Mus musculus: one gene and its partners. Each later gene encodes a partner of the first gene's protein in a complex. Links are inferred from orthologs where the notes say so. Each region holds a gene or a part of one and is shown on either strand. Other genes may lie near its edges. The genes, in order: Gtf2f1, Gtf2h5 and Polr2h.

What was found.
Region 2: Gtf2f1 (region 1) and Gtf2h5 share a complex: the UniProt entries of both Homo sapiens proteins name them as parts of the TBP-based Pol II pre-initiation complex. The link is inferred for Mus musculus from reciprocal best matches to the Homo sapiens genes GTF2F1 and GTF2H5.
Region 3: Gtf2f1 (region 1) and Polr2h share a complex: the UniProt entries of both Homo sapiens proteins name them as parts of the TBP-based Pol II pre-initiation complex. The link is inferred for Mus musculus from reciprocal best matches to the Homo sapiens genes GTF2F1 and POLR2H.

What each region holds. Positions count from the first base shown.
Region 1 is NC_000083.6:57,002,041-57,006,498, reverse strand, and holds the end of Gtf2f1 (general transcription factor IIF subunit 1), read left to right. Parts: intron 1-954; coding exon 955-1,139; intron 1,140-1,679; coding exon 1,680-1,833; intron 1,834-1,926; coding exon 1,927-1,988; intron 1,989-2,070; coding exon 2,071-2,190; intron 2,191-2,303; coding exon 2,304-2,377; intron 2,378-2,445; coding exon 2,446-2,584; intron 2,585-2,687; coding exon 2,688-2,778; intron 2,779-2,867; coding exon 2,868-3,072; 3' UTR 3,073-3,097; downstream 3,098-4,458. UniProt on the Homo sapiens protein: TFIIF is a general transcription initiation factor that binds to RNA polymerase II and helps to recruit it to the initiation complex in collaboration with TFIIB. It promotes transcription elongation.
Region 2 is NC_000083.6:6,078,433-6,082,627, forward strand, and holds the start of Gtf2h5 (general transcription factor IIH subunit 5), read left to right. Parts: upstream 1-1,395; 5' UTR 1,396-1,479; intron 1,480-1,485; exon of another isoform or gene 1,486-2,164; intron 2,165-2,369; 5' UTR 2,370-2,407; coding exon 2,408-2,442; intron 2,443-4,195. UniProt on the Homo sapiens protein: Component of the general transcription and DNA repair factor IIH (TFIIH) core complex, which is involved in general and transcription-coupled nucleotide excision repair (NER) of damaged DNA and, when complexed to CAK, in RNA transcription by RNA polymerase II.
Region 3 is NC_000082.6:20,715,595-20,721,379, reverse strand, and holds the start of Polr2h (DNA-directed RNA polymerases I, II, and III subunit RPABC3), read right to left. Parts: upstream 3,555-5,785; 5' UTR 3,459-3,554; coding exon 3,386-3,458; intron 3,322-3,385; exon of another isoform or gene 3,266-3,321; coding exon of another isoform or gene 3,214-3,265; intron 3,204-3,213; exon of another isoform or gene 2,711-3,203; intron 2,557-2,710; coding exon 2,473-2,556; intron 2,390-2,472; coding exon 2,296-2,389; intron 862-2,295; coding exon 778-861; intron 1-777. Other genes in the region: Clcn2 (chloride channel protein 2), read left to right, coding at 5,385-5,471. UniProt on the Homo sapiens protein: DNA-dependent RNA polymerase catalyzes the transcription of DNA into RNA using the four ribonucleoside triphosphates as substrates.

The DNA of each region.
Region 1 (4,458 bases):
CCTTCTCTAAGTAATCCTTGAGATAAATTAACAGTGGGGGGTGTGGGTGGGGGTAGTGTATGCACACATTACCACACAGATGGCAGAAGCAACAAGGACCAGGCATTCAGGTCCATCTTCTGTATTAAGTTTGAAGCCAGCTGTGGTTATATGAGATTTGGTTTCAAAACACCCCAAAACTTGACAGACACAGTAGTACACACCCTTAATCTCAGCACTTTGGTGCACAGGCAACAGGATCTCTGAGTTTGAGGGGTGGTTTATATTCCAAGTTACAGACCAGCTAAGATCACACAATGAGATCCTGTTTTAAAAGGAATTTTAACTGGGCCAAGCCTGGTGGTGCACACCTTTACCCCAGCACTCTAGGATGCAGTGGCATGAGAATCTCTGTGAGTTCAAGGCCAGCCTGGTTTTCATAGTGAGTTCCAAGACAGCTAGGACAATAGAGAGAGATCCTGTTTCACCAAGAAAACAAAACCAAAAACCAAAAACAACCGAACAACCCACCACCTCCAAAGCCATAAAATGTTATTTAGCTAACCAATATAATGGCTGGATATGCCTGGAACAGACCCTGAGTTTGGAGGAGCTAAGATTTGGGGTCTCCAGGGGGCTTAGGTGCACATGGGCCTGAGTCCATCTCAGGGCTCACCCTATATTGTTTCAAGATTTGGGGGTTTGAAATGGCCCAGGCTGTATGCCCTGCCTCTTTCTCTTTCTGTTGCATGTGGTGTGGCTCAGGCTAACTACCCTGCCTTAGCCTCCTTTACAGTGTTTGTGCCTTAATGAGGTTATCCTGTCATGCCCATTTGTCCTGTAAAGAAGGGATGCCCATTTGAGTGTATCGGTCATTATCTTCTACCATCCTCTTTGCCCAAGGAGCTCTTTGCAGTCCCCTACTCCCCACCATCCTCTGCTACACAAAGTACATAGTCACTTGTTCCCATGCAGGAGGAACAAGGTCCTAAACCACTTCAGCATCATGCAGCAGCGGCGGCTCAAGGACCAGGACCAGGATGAAGATGAGGAGGAGAAGGAGAAGCGCAGTCGCAAGAAGCCTAGTGAGCTGCGCATTCATGACCTGGAGGATGACCTGGAAATGTCCTCCGATGCCAGCGATGCCAGTGGTGAAGAGGGTAAGTGGGGACCCAGAGGTCTTAGTTCAGAGACCAGGTGAGTTACCACCACCTGGGAAGCAGCAATGTGTCCCTGTAGAGCTGCCTGCTCAGATACTATTTTTTTGTTTTGTTTTTCGAGACAGGGTTTCTCTGTGTAGCCCTGGCTGTCCTGGAACTCACTTTGTAGACCAGGCTGTCCTCGAACTCAGAAATCCACCTGCCTCTGCCTCTCAAGTGCTGGGATTAAAGGCCTGCGCTACCACTGCCTGGCTCAGATACTTTTTATAAAGGCTTTAGATGCTATGTGACCTGTGTCTTTCCTGTCACTGCTTGAGTACAGTGATGCATGTGGCATCAGCTGTCAGGATTTCCTGGCTAGATGGAATTGCTGCTCATGGGTATAGCCCCTGCCTAGAATCCCCAGTGAGAGCGGCTGGGGGCGTGGCTTGGGTGGAGCCCCTGCTTAGAGTCCCCAGTGAGAGCGGCTGGAGCCCCTGCCCAGCAGAGAGCAGAGATCTGTGCTCATCCAGTCTGAGCTCCTGTGTCTTCCTCTCACAGGCAGCAGAACCTCCAAGGCTAAGAAAAAGGCCCCTGTGACCAAGGCAGGCAGGAAGAAGAAAAAGAAGAAGGGCTCAGATGATGAGGCTTTTGAGGACAGCGATGATGGGGACTTCGAGGGCCAGGAGGTAGACTACATGTCTGATGGCTCCAGGTAAGGCACAGGCAAGGCAGAGATGAGGCAGGGGCAAGGCAGGCCAGGCCTGTGGCCGCCCAACTTTACGGCTTGCCTTTCTCTGCCCTATAGCAGCTCTCCAGATGAGACAGAAGGCAAGCCCAAAGTGCCCCAGCAGGAGGATGGCCCAAAGGGTAGGTGCCAGTTAGGGACCAACCAGTGGGTGGGAGTGCGCTCAGAAGTTGCCACTGCTCACCCATGTGACCTGTGTCCCAGGGGTGGATGAGCAGAGCGAGAGCAGTGAGGAGAGTGAGGAGGAGAAGCCCCCCGAGGAGGACAAGGAGGAGGAAGAAGAGAAGAAGGCCCCTACCCCACAAGAGAAGAAGCGCAGGAAAGGTGGGCGATGATGGCCAGTATACTCCTGGTCCTTTGGCCCTCCCTGCTCATGGGTGCTGATGGGTAGGCTCTGTCTGGGGTCTCTGCTTATGGTCCTTATCTGCCCTGTGCAGACAGCAGTGATGACTCAGACAGCTCAGAAGAGAGCGACATTGACAGTGAGACCTCCTCTGCACTCTTCATGGCGGTAAGTCAGAGCTGGGGGCTTGAGTAGGGCCAGTCTGAGCCTTCACACTCATACCCTAATCTCTGCAGAAGAAGAAGACACCCCCAAAGAGGGAGCGGAAGCCATCGGGGGGGAGTTCAAAGGGCACCAGTCGGCCAGGGACTCCCAGTGCAGAAGCAGCAAGCACCTCTTCTACCCTGCGGGCTGCAGCCAGCAAGCTGGAGCAGGGTGAGTGCCCAGAAAAGCCTGTCACTGGAGAAAGAGCTGCTGGCAGCCACCTGTTGTCCCCGATCTGGGCCCTGCCTGGACGTGACATTACTCTCTCCACCAGGGAAGCGGACGAGTGAGACTCCAGCAGCCAAGCGTCTTCGGATGGACACGGGTCCCCAGAGCCTGTCTGGGAAGTCCACACCCAGCAGCGGGTACGTTCAGACAGGAGCAGGACCATAGGTGGGATTGGGCTAAAGGGACTCTTGTATGACTCCAGCCTCCCTCCCTTCCCCTCCCACAGTGATGTCCAGGTGACAGAGGACGCTGTGCGCCGCTACCTGACCCGCAAGCCCATGACCACAAAGGACCTGCTGAAGAAGTTCCAGACCAAGAAGACAGGGCTGAGCAGCGAGCAGACAGTAAATGTGCTGGCGCAGATCCTCAAGCGCCTCAACCCTGAGCGCAAGATGATTGGTGATAAGATGCACTTCTCCCTCAAAGAGTGATGCCAATAAAGAGAGCAGGCCCAGAGTGTGTGCGAGTCATCACTGCCACCCCTGCCGCCCTGGAGCCCTGAGGCATCTGGGCCTCCATTCTTCCATTGTTTCTCAATCTCTCCCCCTCCCTCCCTCCCTCCCTCCTTCCTTCTTTTCTTTCTTTAATGCATCATATATGTATTAATCATTCCATTTGTTTACATCTCAAATGATATCCCACTTCCTGGTTACGCCCTCCACCAACCCCCATCCCACATCCCGTCCTCCCTCCTCTCCTTTGCCTGTATGAGAGTGCTCCCACACTCTCCCACTGCTCCAGCATCCTCCTACTCTGGGGCATCAAACCTCCCTGGGACAAAGAGACACCCCTCCCATTGCTGTCAGGCAAGGCCATCTTCCTACATTTGTATCTGGAGCCATGGATCCCTCCAGGTACACTCCTTGGCTAGTGGTCTAAACTATGGAAGAACTGGGTGGTCAGGCCATCCTATGTTGTTCTTCCAATGGGGTTGCAATCCCCTCCAGTCCTTCTGCAAGCTCCCCCACCAGGTTCCCTGAGTTCTGCCTGATGGTTGGCTCCAAGCATCTGCCTCAGCATTAGTCAGTTGCTGACAGGACCTCCCAAGGAACCGCCACACTAGGTTCCTGTCAGCAAGCTCCTCTTGACCATGGGAACTGTTGGGTTTGGTGTCTGTAGACATGATGGATCCCCAGGTGAGGCAGTCCCCAGTTAGCCCTTACTTTAGTCTCTGTGCTATTTTTTGTCCCTGTTCTTCCTTTGGGCAGGAATGTTTCTGGGTTAAAAACTTTGAGATGGTGTGTGTGTGTGTCCGTCCCCATCCCTCAACCAGGGGCTGGACCTATCTACTGGAGGTGATTTCAACAAGTTCTATCTCCTCTGAGCATTTCGGCTGAAGTCATCCTGGTTGGGTCCTGGGCCCTCCAGCAGCTATCCCCAGTTCCTCATCCTCCTGCTACATATTTTTGTTTGATTTCCTGACCCTCTGTACCTCTCTCACATCTCCAGTTCCTGATACTCCACCCTTCTGAGCCTCCATTCTTTTTTTTTTTTTTTTTTTTTTTTTTTTAAGTTTTTTGAGACAGGGTTTCTCTGTGTAGCCCTGGCTGTCCTGGAACTCACTCTGTGGACCAGGCTGGCCTTGAACTCAGAAATCTGCCTGCCTCTGCCTCCCAAGTGCTGGGATTAAAGGCATGTGCCACCACGCCCGGGTGAGCTTCCATTCTTATAAGACACAGCCTTTCTGCCCACTGAGCTCAATCCATAGCCAGGACTTGTCCCCTGTGCAATCTTCACCAGTTTGATTTTACTTTGCCTCTGCCCTGGCCACACCCACAGCCCCTCACTGGAGGATTCTAGATAGGCAGAGGGATTCT
Region 2 (4,195 bases), about 51 Mb from region 1:
CTCATTTGAGTATAACTGTGCTCACTTAGTGCAGGCAAACAAAACTACTCCCTCCGTCTATATTTTAATAATGACTAGTGCTGCCTGCATTTCCAAATATTTTAATCTCCTGGGTAAAATGGTACTTAGACCTCACTTCTGCTTGTCTAATGCATTGTGAAATTTAAACGCTTGTACCCTTTGTGGACACTTCAGGTCACAGGCAGATTGTTCTGAAGTGACTGGCCCTTTAGGTACCACTAACTATGGTAAAGAGGTCTGAAGCCTCTTAAATTACGTGAAAGAAGAATGAAAAAAATCAGCGTTTCTACAAAAATAAATAAGCAACGGCAACAATAAAAAAGGAGCGGGGTACAGTAGATGTGGGAATGAACTAACAAGAGGGCCCAGGGATGGTAAGATGGCTCAGCAAACACGGCACTCTTGTGCAGAGCCTGATGGACAGAGTTCCAGCCCAGGGATTCACATGCAGGAAGAGAATGGGCTCCTTCCAACTGTCCTCTGACCGTTCCTGCATTGGTGAACACACATCACACACCCGACCCACGTACATACATACATGCATACATATATGTAATAAATACATTCTTTAAAAGAGAAGTTTGAGGAGCTGTGAGGGAAACAGGTGGAAGGGTGAAACTGGCTAAAGGAAGATGAGACGTGTAAAGCAAATATCAGCATGAGCTTAAATGTGGAAATACAATTTAACCTAAGGATCAAGAAGCTAAAACTACCTCCTGTCTCAACTGCTGAGAACTCAGCTCCATTAAGACTACAGATCAGAATTTGGGAATAGGATTAACTTCAGAACTTTCCGGAGGCCTTCAGCTTAAAATGACGGTTACTGGGATTAGAAAACCTATCAGCATTCCAACTATTCAATCTCCCAGGTCGGAGAAGAGCAAGATGTGTCCGACTCAGGTGTGGCTTATGAGAACACAGAGCCCAGGACAGTGCACCTTCCATGCAGGTGCTCTCCTCCAAGCCTCAGGGGCAACCAGCGCGGCGCAGTGACCAATCAAGAAAAAGACAAAAATCCGTGGTGCCGCGGCGAGTCATCGGGTCCCTCCGAGACCGCGCGACCTTAGTGTCTGTGCAGGACTACCGCCCTCCTCTCCTGGGGCTGCGGCGACGCCCTTGCCCTCCCTCCCTTCCGTCCGTCCTTCTGTCCGTTCGCCCGTCCTACCTGCCGGCGCAATGACTCTGGCAGCCCGGACGGCTCGCGGTGGACTCCGCCGGCTACAGAGCTCACCCTCCGCCACCACTAGTAACCTGCGCCCTAACCCAGCGGCAGTGAGCACGTGACCCCGCCTCTGAGGGCTTGACCCCGCCCTTAGGGCCCGCCCCAGAGAGTCGCCCCACCTACTAGGGTGTCGCAGGCGCGATGACGTACGGCGCAGGCGCAGTGAGTCGGCGACGCCGGGCCAGCTCTGGTTTGTTGGAGTTGGAACGCTGCTGCCTCTGCGCGCCTAGAAAAAGGTAGGTTGCGTGGGGCTCGGCTGCCTCGGAGATAAGGCGGGGAAGAGGAAAGACACAGAGCCTTCGGTCCTGTGGGCGGGCCGAAGTCCCGCACCCTTTCTAAGGCCTGTGTTGTGGGTCCGCGCGGCCATCACGCATTGCATCGCGGTTTTCTGTGGGGAAGGTAGCTGCCCATGCCTGCGTGTAGACACTGGTGGCTGTCACGCAGGCGATTGCCAATGCAGATCCTTAGAGGACGTAGTTTATTAATCAAAAGAACACAAGATCTGGAGACCTAGGTGTTTGTAAATTTAAATTACCTGCTTTGTCCAGGTACTCGGTCTCATCAGTATAATCAGGCGGTGGGTCACTGTAATTTTGAGGCTCTTTCGGAACTACCATTTTGTAGTTTCTGCCTCCCAGAATCTTTTCAGTGTATCGTTCTCTTGGATAAAAAAGAAAACAGTTGAATAATGAATCTATTTTACACTGTGTTGGGCCCGTTAATTTTTGAGGAGTTTTGGTTTTGGGTTTTTTTTGTTGTTTGTTTTTTTGTTTTTAAAGTTTGTGGCTCACTATGTAGTCTAGGCTGGTCCAAAACTAAAGAGCCCTGCCAGCCCCTTCCTCCCTCCTGAGTGCTGGGATTGAAAGCCTGAACCACCCTGCCGTGTTTGGAGCTTACTTTTTAAAAGATTAATTAGAATTTGTAAGTAGGATTTATGCTTTATTAATATTGCAAATATTCTGCTTTAGCACTGGTAAGAACAGGAATATCTGGATGCCTCAATGTTAGCTTTTTAATGCTGACATTTAGTTTTTTGTTTCATCTCAGATGTAAATCCCCAAAGTGGGTTTAAACATTTGGATTTTATGTCACTTCATCCCTTTTAAATTGTATTTATTTATTTTAGAATTCTTGAAGTCATCTGCACCGTCTGCCTGGGAAAAGATGGTCAACGTGCTGAAAGGGGTGCTTATAGAATGGTTCGTAGCTTTAACAATTCATGATTTTAAATTTACACATCGAGTCTTGTTATGTATATTCACTATGCCTCAATAGTGTGTGTGTGTGTATGTCTTTTCCAAAATTTTGTTTTGTTGATATAAATGAAATCCAGGCTTCAACTTTGAATTTCCATAAGCTTTCCTTATAAGTGGGACAGGATTTGCTGCTAGGTTTCTTGCTGATATTACATTTTATTGTCTCTGTTAAGTGAATGTAATTAGCTTTACTTCCAGTGATTTTTTTTTTAATGGGAAGCTTGTGTGTTAGATTAGCCTTGTTTAGAGAAACAGTGTCACTATCTAAAACCATCAGCTCTTGGCTAGATTAAGCTTTGGAAGAATGCAGGCGCTTGGCTTGGGCCAGGCTCTTGGGCCAGGCTCCTGGGGTGGGCCTTTGTCCCAGCAGGTGGATCTCTTAGCTGATCAAAGTCATCCTGCTCTACATGGTAAGTTTCAGATCCTGCTTCCTACCCACCCCCCAAGGCTGTATAATGAAACCTTGCCTCAAAAAATGAAAAGAATAAAGCAATACATGAACTTGGTTAAATCTTTGCCACTACAGCATGCCTTTCTTGAAAGGAAATGAGAGCCAAATGCAACAGGCTTAACTTAGGAGTTTCTCCAAAGGAGAAACCATTTTTAGAGTTGAATTCTTCAAAGTAACCTAAAATACAGGTCTTTGCTGTCTCTGACTTTTAAAACTCGAACTCAAAGCTTTCGCTTTGTTGGTAGGAAGCCCTGTTCTCTGGACTCCCCTTTATTAAAAATACTGTCTCCTTTCTGTTTGCCTATTATGAGTCATTGTTTAGGTAGTGGTGCTTTTACTGTGATGGCAAAGCTGAGGGGACAGCAGGGTCAAACCCTAGGATACCTGTAACATTTGGAGCAGCACTGTCCAGTGGAAATACAGTATAAGCCACATAAATTAAATTTTCTAGTAACTACATCAAAGAGTGAAATGAATCAGGTAGGCTGTGAGTAATTTTATTTTCTGTGTATGAGTATTTGCCTAAGGATATCAGAAGACGGCATTGGATTGCCAGGACCTTGGGTTGGGAACAAGTTGTGAGCCACTGGGCTGGGAACTGAACCTGGGTCCTCTGCAAGAGCAACAAGTGCTCTTACCCTCTGAGCCAGCTCTCTTTTCCCATGTATTAAGTCTCAAAAAAACCCTTCAAGTCTAGTATCTTACTTTTACATAGTATCAAATGTTCTGTGACTAGTGAGCTACCATAGGATAAAACAGGAAGATAGAGATTTCAACAAAGTCAGTTTTGTTTTGTTTTGTTTTGTTTTGTAACTATCTTTATTCTCAAATTGATAAAACCATTTAACATATATTTTACAGTATAAACAAATTAAGTGCTATGCATTTTACTTATAAAGTGACTTAAAGTATTTAAGCATATAATTTGTACAAAAGTTTTCAAATAAAGCTTTGGTTAGTAAAACTGACTATATACCATCAATTCCATTTTTCAATGTTGTTCAAAAAATTAAAAAGAAAAACAAAACACAAAACAGCACAGGAGGAGGAGGAGGAGGAGGAAAAAGCAAACAAAAACCAACACTAGTTGAGGTTGGAGGGACTGTAAATCGGGAAATAGTTCATGAATTTAAAAGGGCTGATTGTAGAGGCATTTTAATCCAGCAGTATGGCTACCCTGGCTGGAATAGAGACAGGCCCTTAGCACACACCTTTAATCCCAAGCAGTGAGGGTAAAGTTAGTTT
Region 3 (5,785 bases), on another chromosome or scaffold:
AAAAAAGTTTGGGGAGCTTTCAACTAATAAGAAAAATATTGTAAAGGGTCTTAAAGAGAAAAGTAAACACTTAAAAAAAAACTATTTAAACTCTTTGTTTGTTTCTGTTTTTAAAATAACAGGGTCTCACTATGTAACCCTGGCTGGCCTGGAACTCACTCTGTAGACCAGGCTGGCCTGGAATGCACAGAAATCCACCTGCCTCTGTCTCTCCAATGCTGAATTACAGATATCTGCCACCACAGCAGCTACTCAAACTCTTTATCTAAAAGATTCCCTAGGTGACTATTGTTCTTCTTCTCATTTTGTTCTTTTTCTGTGCTTCAAGTTTCTGACAACCACACTTTTTAAACATCATTTTAAAGAAAAGGGGAAAAAAAATTCAGGCAGGGAAACCAAAGATCCAAGGGTTGGGCTACAGAGAAGCAATACATACTTAACCAAAACAAACAAACAAACAAACAAACAAACAAACAAAAAAGGCCTGATTATGCATAGTGCACGTGTTCTCCAGCAAGATGCTCTGTTGTCCTTCACAAAGCAAGATAGCTCGTGCCTCCTCTGGACTACAGGGTCTTGAAAACCCTGACTATGGTGCCGCTGAGTGACCCACATACAGGCTGGAAACTGTTCCCAAGACAAATTCTTCCACCTAGGTTTGGAATACTAGAAACAAAGGGGGGTGGGGGTGGGGAGAGGGCGGCAACACAGAAGTAAAAGCCTGGCCCAACCTCAGAGCAGGGAGGGAAAAGACTTTTCCTAGACAGTGTTACTTACAGGCGTGTGGCTGCTTCAGTGGAGGTCTCATCCCCTTCGATCCTGTACACTTTCCCATACATGACATACTCAAACTGGTCAGCCCTACAAACAACAGACTGGTCACTCTTCATAGTAAGAGTCTACGGGAACTTTAGAAATGGAGACTGATGAGGTACACATGCAGAACCATGACCTTCCTTGGCCCCCACAGAAATTCTGTGAGGTACACATGACCATCTGTATTTCATTGATGAGGAGACAGAAGGCTTTGAACTGAAAACTCAGGTTGAGTCGTGGCCTTTTAGCCCTATTCCAACTGGCCTCAAACTCACAGTCAGACAGACTTGTGCTTCTGTTTCCCAAGTGCAGGGACTAAGGGTGCTGGTCACCAGACCTACTACTCCATAGTCTTTCTATCACACCAAGCTCCCTCACAAGACCTAAGTTACTATGTAATCCTTTCCTCAGCCTTAAAGACCTAACCCTGAACCAAAGGCGGCACATAACCTTAATTCCAGCACTGAGGCAGAGGAGGTAGATGTGACTCTAAGTGCAAGGCCAGCCTGATCTACAGACCAGGTCAACCAGGTCTCTACAAAGTGAGAAGACCCTGTCCCACATAAATAAATAGATGCAATTCACAAGCTTATGATCACTGCTCTCAGTAATGAATAAAACTAGTCATCTGAATTTTTTTCAATTTTTTTAGACACAAGGTCTCATGTAGCCAAGGCTAGCCTCAGACTTGATATGAGGCCAAACATTTTCTTGAACTCGTGAACCGTCTCCTGAATCCTGGATTATAGACAAAAGCCATCACATCCAGGTCTAGTTGTCTGAATTCTTTTTTTTTGTTGTTTTTTGTTTTTTTGGTTTTTTTTTTGAGACAGGGTTTCTCTGTATAGCCCTAGCTGTCCTGGAACTCACTCTGTAGACCAGGCTGGCCTTGAACAGAAATCTGCCTGCTTCTGCCTCCCAAGTGCTTATGCTGGAATTAAAGGCGTGTGCCACCACTGCCCAGCTAGTTGTCCGAACTCTAATTGCAGCAATGCCTTTAAGGTAATTCAGATTCCACTGACAGCAATCATTTATCTCTAGAAGTAAAGACTTTCCTATATACTTACGTTTTTCTTTCTTTATAATATATACATAATATAGAACATATGTTATATAACATTATATGTAATATATAATATGTACTATATATTATATGTAATGTACAACATTATATATAATATATAAATAAATTATATATTATATTACTTCATTACATTCTCATCATAGTTACTTATATATAGTATTAACATATGTTATTATATACTATAACATACATGTTATATATTATATCTAATATATAACATTATATAACTTATGTTATACATTGTCATGTAATGTGCATAGTATATAATACATATTGTATCCAAGAAATCAAATTTTCTATAACATATAGTTATACATATGTATATCCATAATCTACATATTATACTTTCTCTGCACTATATTCTTATCTTAGTCACTTGTTTACTGCTACCTCACCTGGAAGGCCTGTCATCTGTGGGGTTGTATTCACCATCATCCAAGGTACCATCTTCATACAAAGTACTAGCTATAACCAACCGGAACTTGTCACCTGAATAGAGCAGCAACATCAGGGTAAAGAAGTAGACACCTAAGACCAAAATCCTCTTGCCATTGCCCGTATTCAATACTTACCTAAGTCCACAGGGTAAATCTGAATGTTTACATCTAAGATGAGGTCCATCTTGAAAGATTCACTCTCACAGTGCAGCCGGGATACTGGGGAAGAGTGCATGACAGACATGATTACAAAGTCTATCGATGCCAGCTTGGGGTCAAATGCAAGAGATCAAATCATCTAACATGCACACACCCACCAGCCTCCCACAACTGCAATCAGAATCAGATTCACAAGAGGGAAGAAGGCAGTAACCTCAGCAAGTGACAGGGTCCCAAGCAAGCGGCAAAGCTCCTCCAGCAGTGGCCAGTCTCCAGGCTCTAACTAAAAACGCCTGGATGATTTAGACTAGAGTCTCACTGGTCCTGAGACTTCCTCTTTCTAGCAGGAGACACTGCTGAGGGAATCTGAGGGATGTATTCAAAACTGACATCTGTCTTAAGACATTTGCCTCCAGGCTAAGCGACACCAAGAAGAAACAACTTCCGGATCGTTGGGAAAATAAATACACCAAGCGGTCAACTGAATGAAATTCAGAGAGCTTCGGAAAGAGCTAACTTGTTCTTAGGCTAATACAAAATTATTGGTTAGGAAGGCAGGTAGGTAACTCGCTGCAAGACCTGGGGTAACAAAAGAGATAAGGCACCATCTACTTTTTCCAAGAATAAAGTTCAGAGCACGGTAGAGCACATAATAACTGTGTAGGGAGTTAGAAAGGTTCCCAGGGGTATGCCAGCACCCAGCTAAGGGCCACCCACCGGGCACCAGGCACCGCAAATATAATAGAAAAAGCTGTCTCAAGTTTCTCATTCACGAAAAAAAAAAAAAAACTGTTTCCTGAGGGAGGTACCGAGAGGGTGGGGCGGGCCAGCCACTTGGGGTGGGTGGGCATGTTGGCCACTTCCCTCCTACCGCCCCGACACCGCTTACCTCGGTCAAATTTCTTGCCTTCTGGGTCGATGTCTTTCACATCGAAAATATCCTCGAACAGGATGCCCGCCATCGCGAAGGGCACGAAAGCTGCAGAGGATGTGAGCGCGCGGCCACCACTGGGGATTCGCGCACCCCCTCACGTGGAGAAAAGTAAGACAGGGCAGAGTACCGCCCCAAAAGCGGCAACGAGGCCGAGGGCGCGTGCGCACGGGCTGCAGTCACGCAGCCACTTCCGCTGCCTCCTTCTCGGGGCTTCTTCACTTCCGCCGGGAAGGGCCACCTCCGAGGTGCTCGGGCCTTGTGGGCGAGTCTCAAAACTCGGTGACTCCGTCCAAGGCGGGGACAGATTAAGTCCCACCTCCGACGGGGTACCGCGCTGCGCCCGGCTCGACGGCGCCCTCTTCAGACTGTGGATCCCAAAGCGTGGAAAGCTTGGGGGCCTAACCCAGCCAGGAACCTTGATCCTTGGCCCAGAGAAGCCCGGCCCTAGCCCTTCCCTGAAGTCCGCGTGCCGGCCGAGGGCACAGTCCGCGCTGCAGGCAGGTGGAGCAGAACCCCGCCCGCAGAGCACCAGCCCTCCAGGACCCGGTGCCCAGCCCCTCAGACTGTCACCAAGATCCCCAAAGCTGGTGCGAGCTGGCTCGGACCAGCTAGACATCACCGGAGCCGGGTGCGTCCGGTTTGGGAATTTGCCATGATGTCACTCTCGGGGAAAGGAAAGCCCGCATTGTGCCCTCCCCTGGGGCTTCACCTCCTCGCCACTCCCGTCTTCCCTTGGCCCTGCTTGGCACTAGCCTCACACTGATCCCCTAGAACACTGCCAACTGAACTTGGTACTGCCTGTCACCCCACTATACCACCCTCTTCTGGACACTGAAGTGCGCCTTTCACTGGGAGGCGACAGCTCGCAATACCTTCTTTCTAGGTGCTACCTCCTCTCATTACAGCCCCTGTGCTGGGCACCCTCTTGTTTCTTGAATGAGTCTTCATCCTGGTACTATTCTTTCTCCACAGATTTCTGGACACTGTCCTCTCCAGTGGCTCCAACCTAACGCTGCCCATCCTCTTTGTGCCCTCGACACCTTCTTCTTGTCCTTCCCAGGACCCCGAAAGACAATGTGGAGCCTCAGTAGGCCGTTTCCTCAGGGCGTCAGCAGCTACTCAAATTCCCCCTTAAGCGGTGCCTGGGAGGAGCGACCTCTGCTCCCCCCCCCCCCCACACACACACACACACCCGCCTCCCAGGAGCGGCCTCCCCCGCACCAATAGCTCCCTTCCCTCGGGCCTCACCCCTTCCCGTCCCCTCCCACCTCCACCTCCGCCCCTCTTTCCAGGCCTAGCCATTCCAGGTGCACCTTCCCGGGGGAACCCGGAGGAAAGGAAGGAGAAAGGGAGGCAAGGAGGGAGCCGGCTCTCGGGCATCCTCCCAGATGCGTCTGAGCCGCCTGAAAGTGTGAAGCAGAGGCTGCCCCTGTCCGGTCTGGCTTAGAGAGCCCGAATTAGCTTTTGTCAGTAGCCCCCTACCCCAGTTCAAGAGTCCCCACATCTCCAGCCCCTCCCGCACAACGCTGCAGCCGCGGGAGAGCCCGTCCCTTCCACGTGCCAGCAGACCCGCCCCCGCCCGGCCCCCGCACCCTCAGGGCGCTGGGTTAATCCCGGGCCTCCGTGGCGAAGGGGTGCGAGATCGTGTTTCAAGCGCCCCCTGCCGCCTCTCCGGACACCAGGAGGCGGCCCCAATGCAGACCCCGGCCGGGCAGGGACGCCCCTGCAGATGGGCCGGGGCGGAGCAGCAAAGCAGGGCACCGCCCTCGGCCCGCCCGCCGAGGAGGAGACGCTAGCGGGAGGCTGAGCCTGCGGCGCGCGCCCGGGGACCCGTCGCACTCTGCACTCGGCCGCCTGGGCTGAGGGGACGGGACGGGTGCGGGCGCGGGCTCAGCGGGCCGGGAGCTGAGTCAAGGCCGAGAAGCAGAGGGAGGCAAGAGGACAGTGCACCGAGATGGCGGCTGCAACGGCTGCGGCGGCCGCGGCGGCGGCGGCGGGGGAAGGGATGGAGCCTCGAGCGCTGCAGTACGAGCAGACCCTGGTAAGTGAAACCCAAGGGTTGCCCTACGGGACCAATGCTGCAGGTTGCCCTGGAAAGTGTGAGGACAGATGGCCTACCCTAACCCGGCCTCAGCCTTTCTCAGCTATGGAAACTGAGGTTCGGGATCCGCCAGGCTGTGGGTTCAGAGTGTTGGAAAGCTGCTTGCTGGTTTCTGGCTGAGACTGGTGGCCTGCAGAAGACAATGACACCAGGTGCTTGGCCCAGGTGTCCTTTCTCTTACCCACTTCTGCATACACGTTTTTGTTTTCTTCACTTACCACTTGAGTCCAAGTTACAGCAGCCCAGTGCTCTTT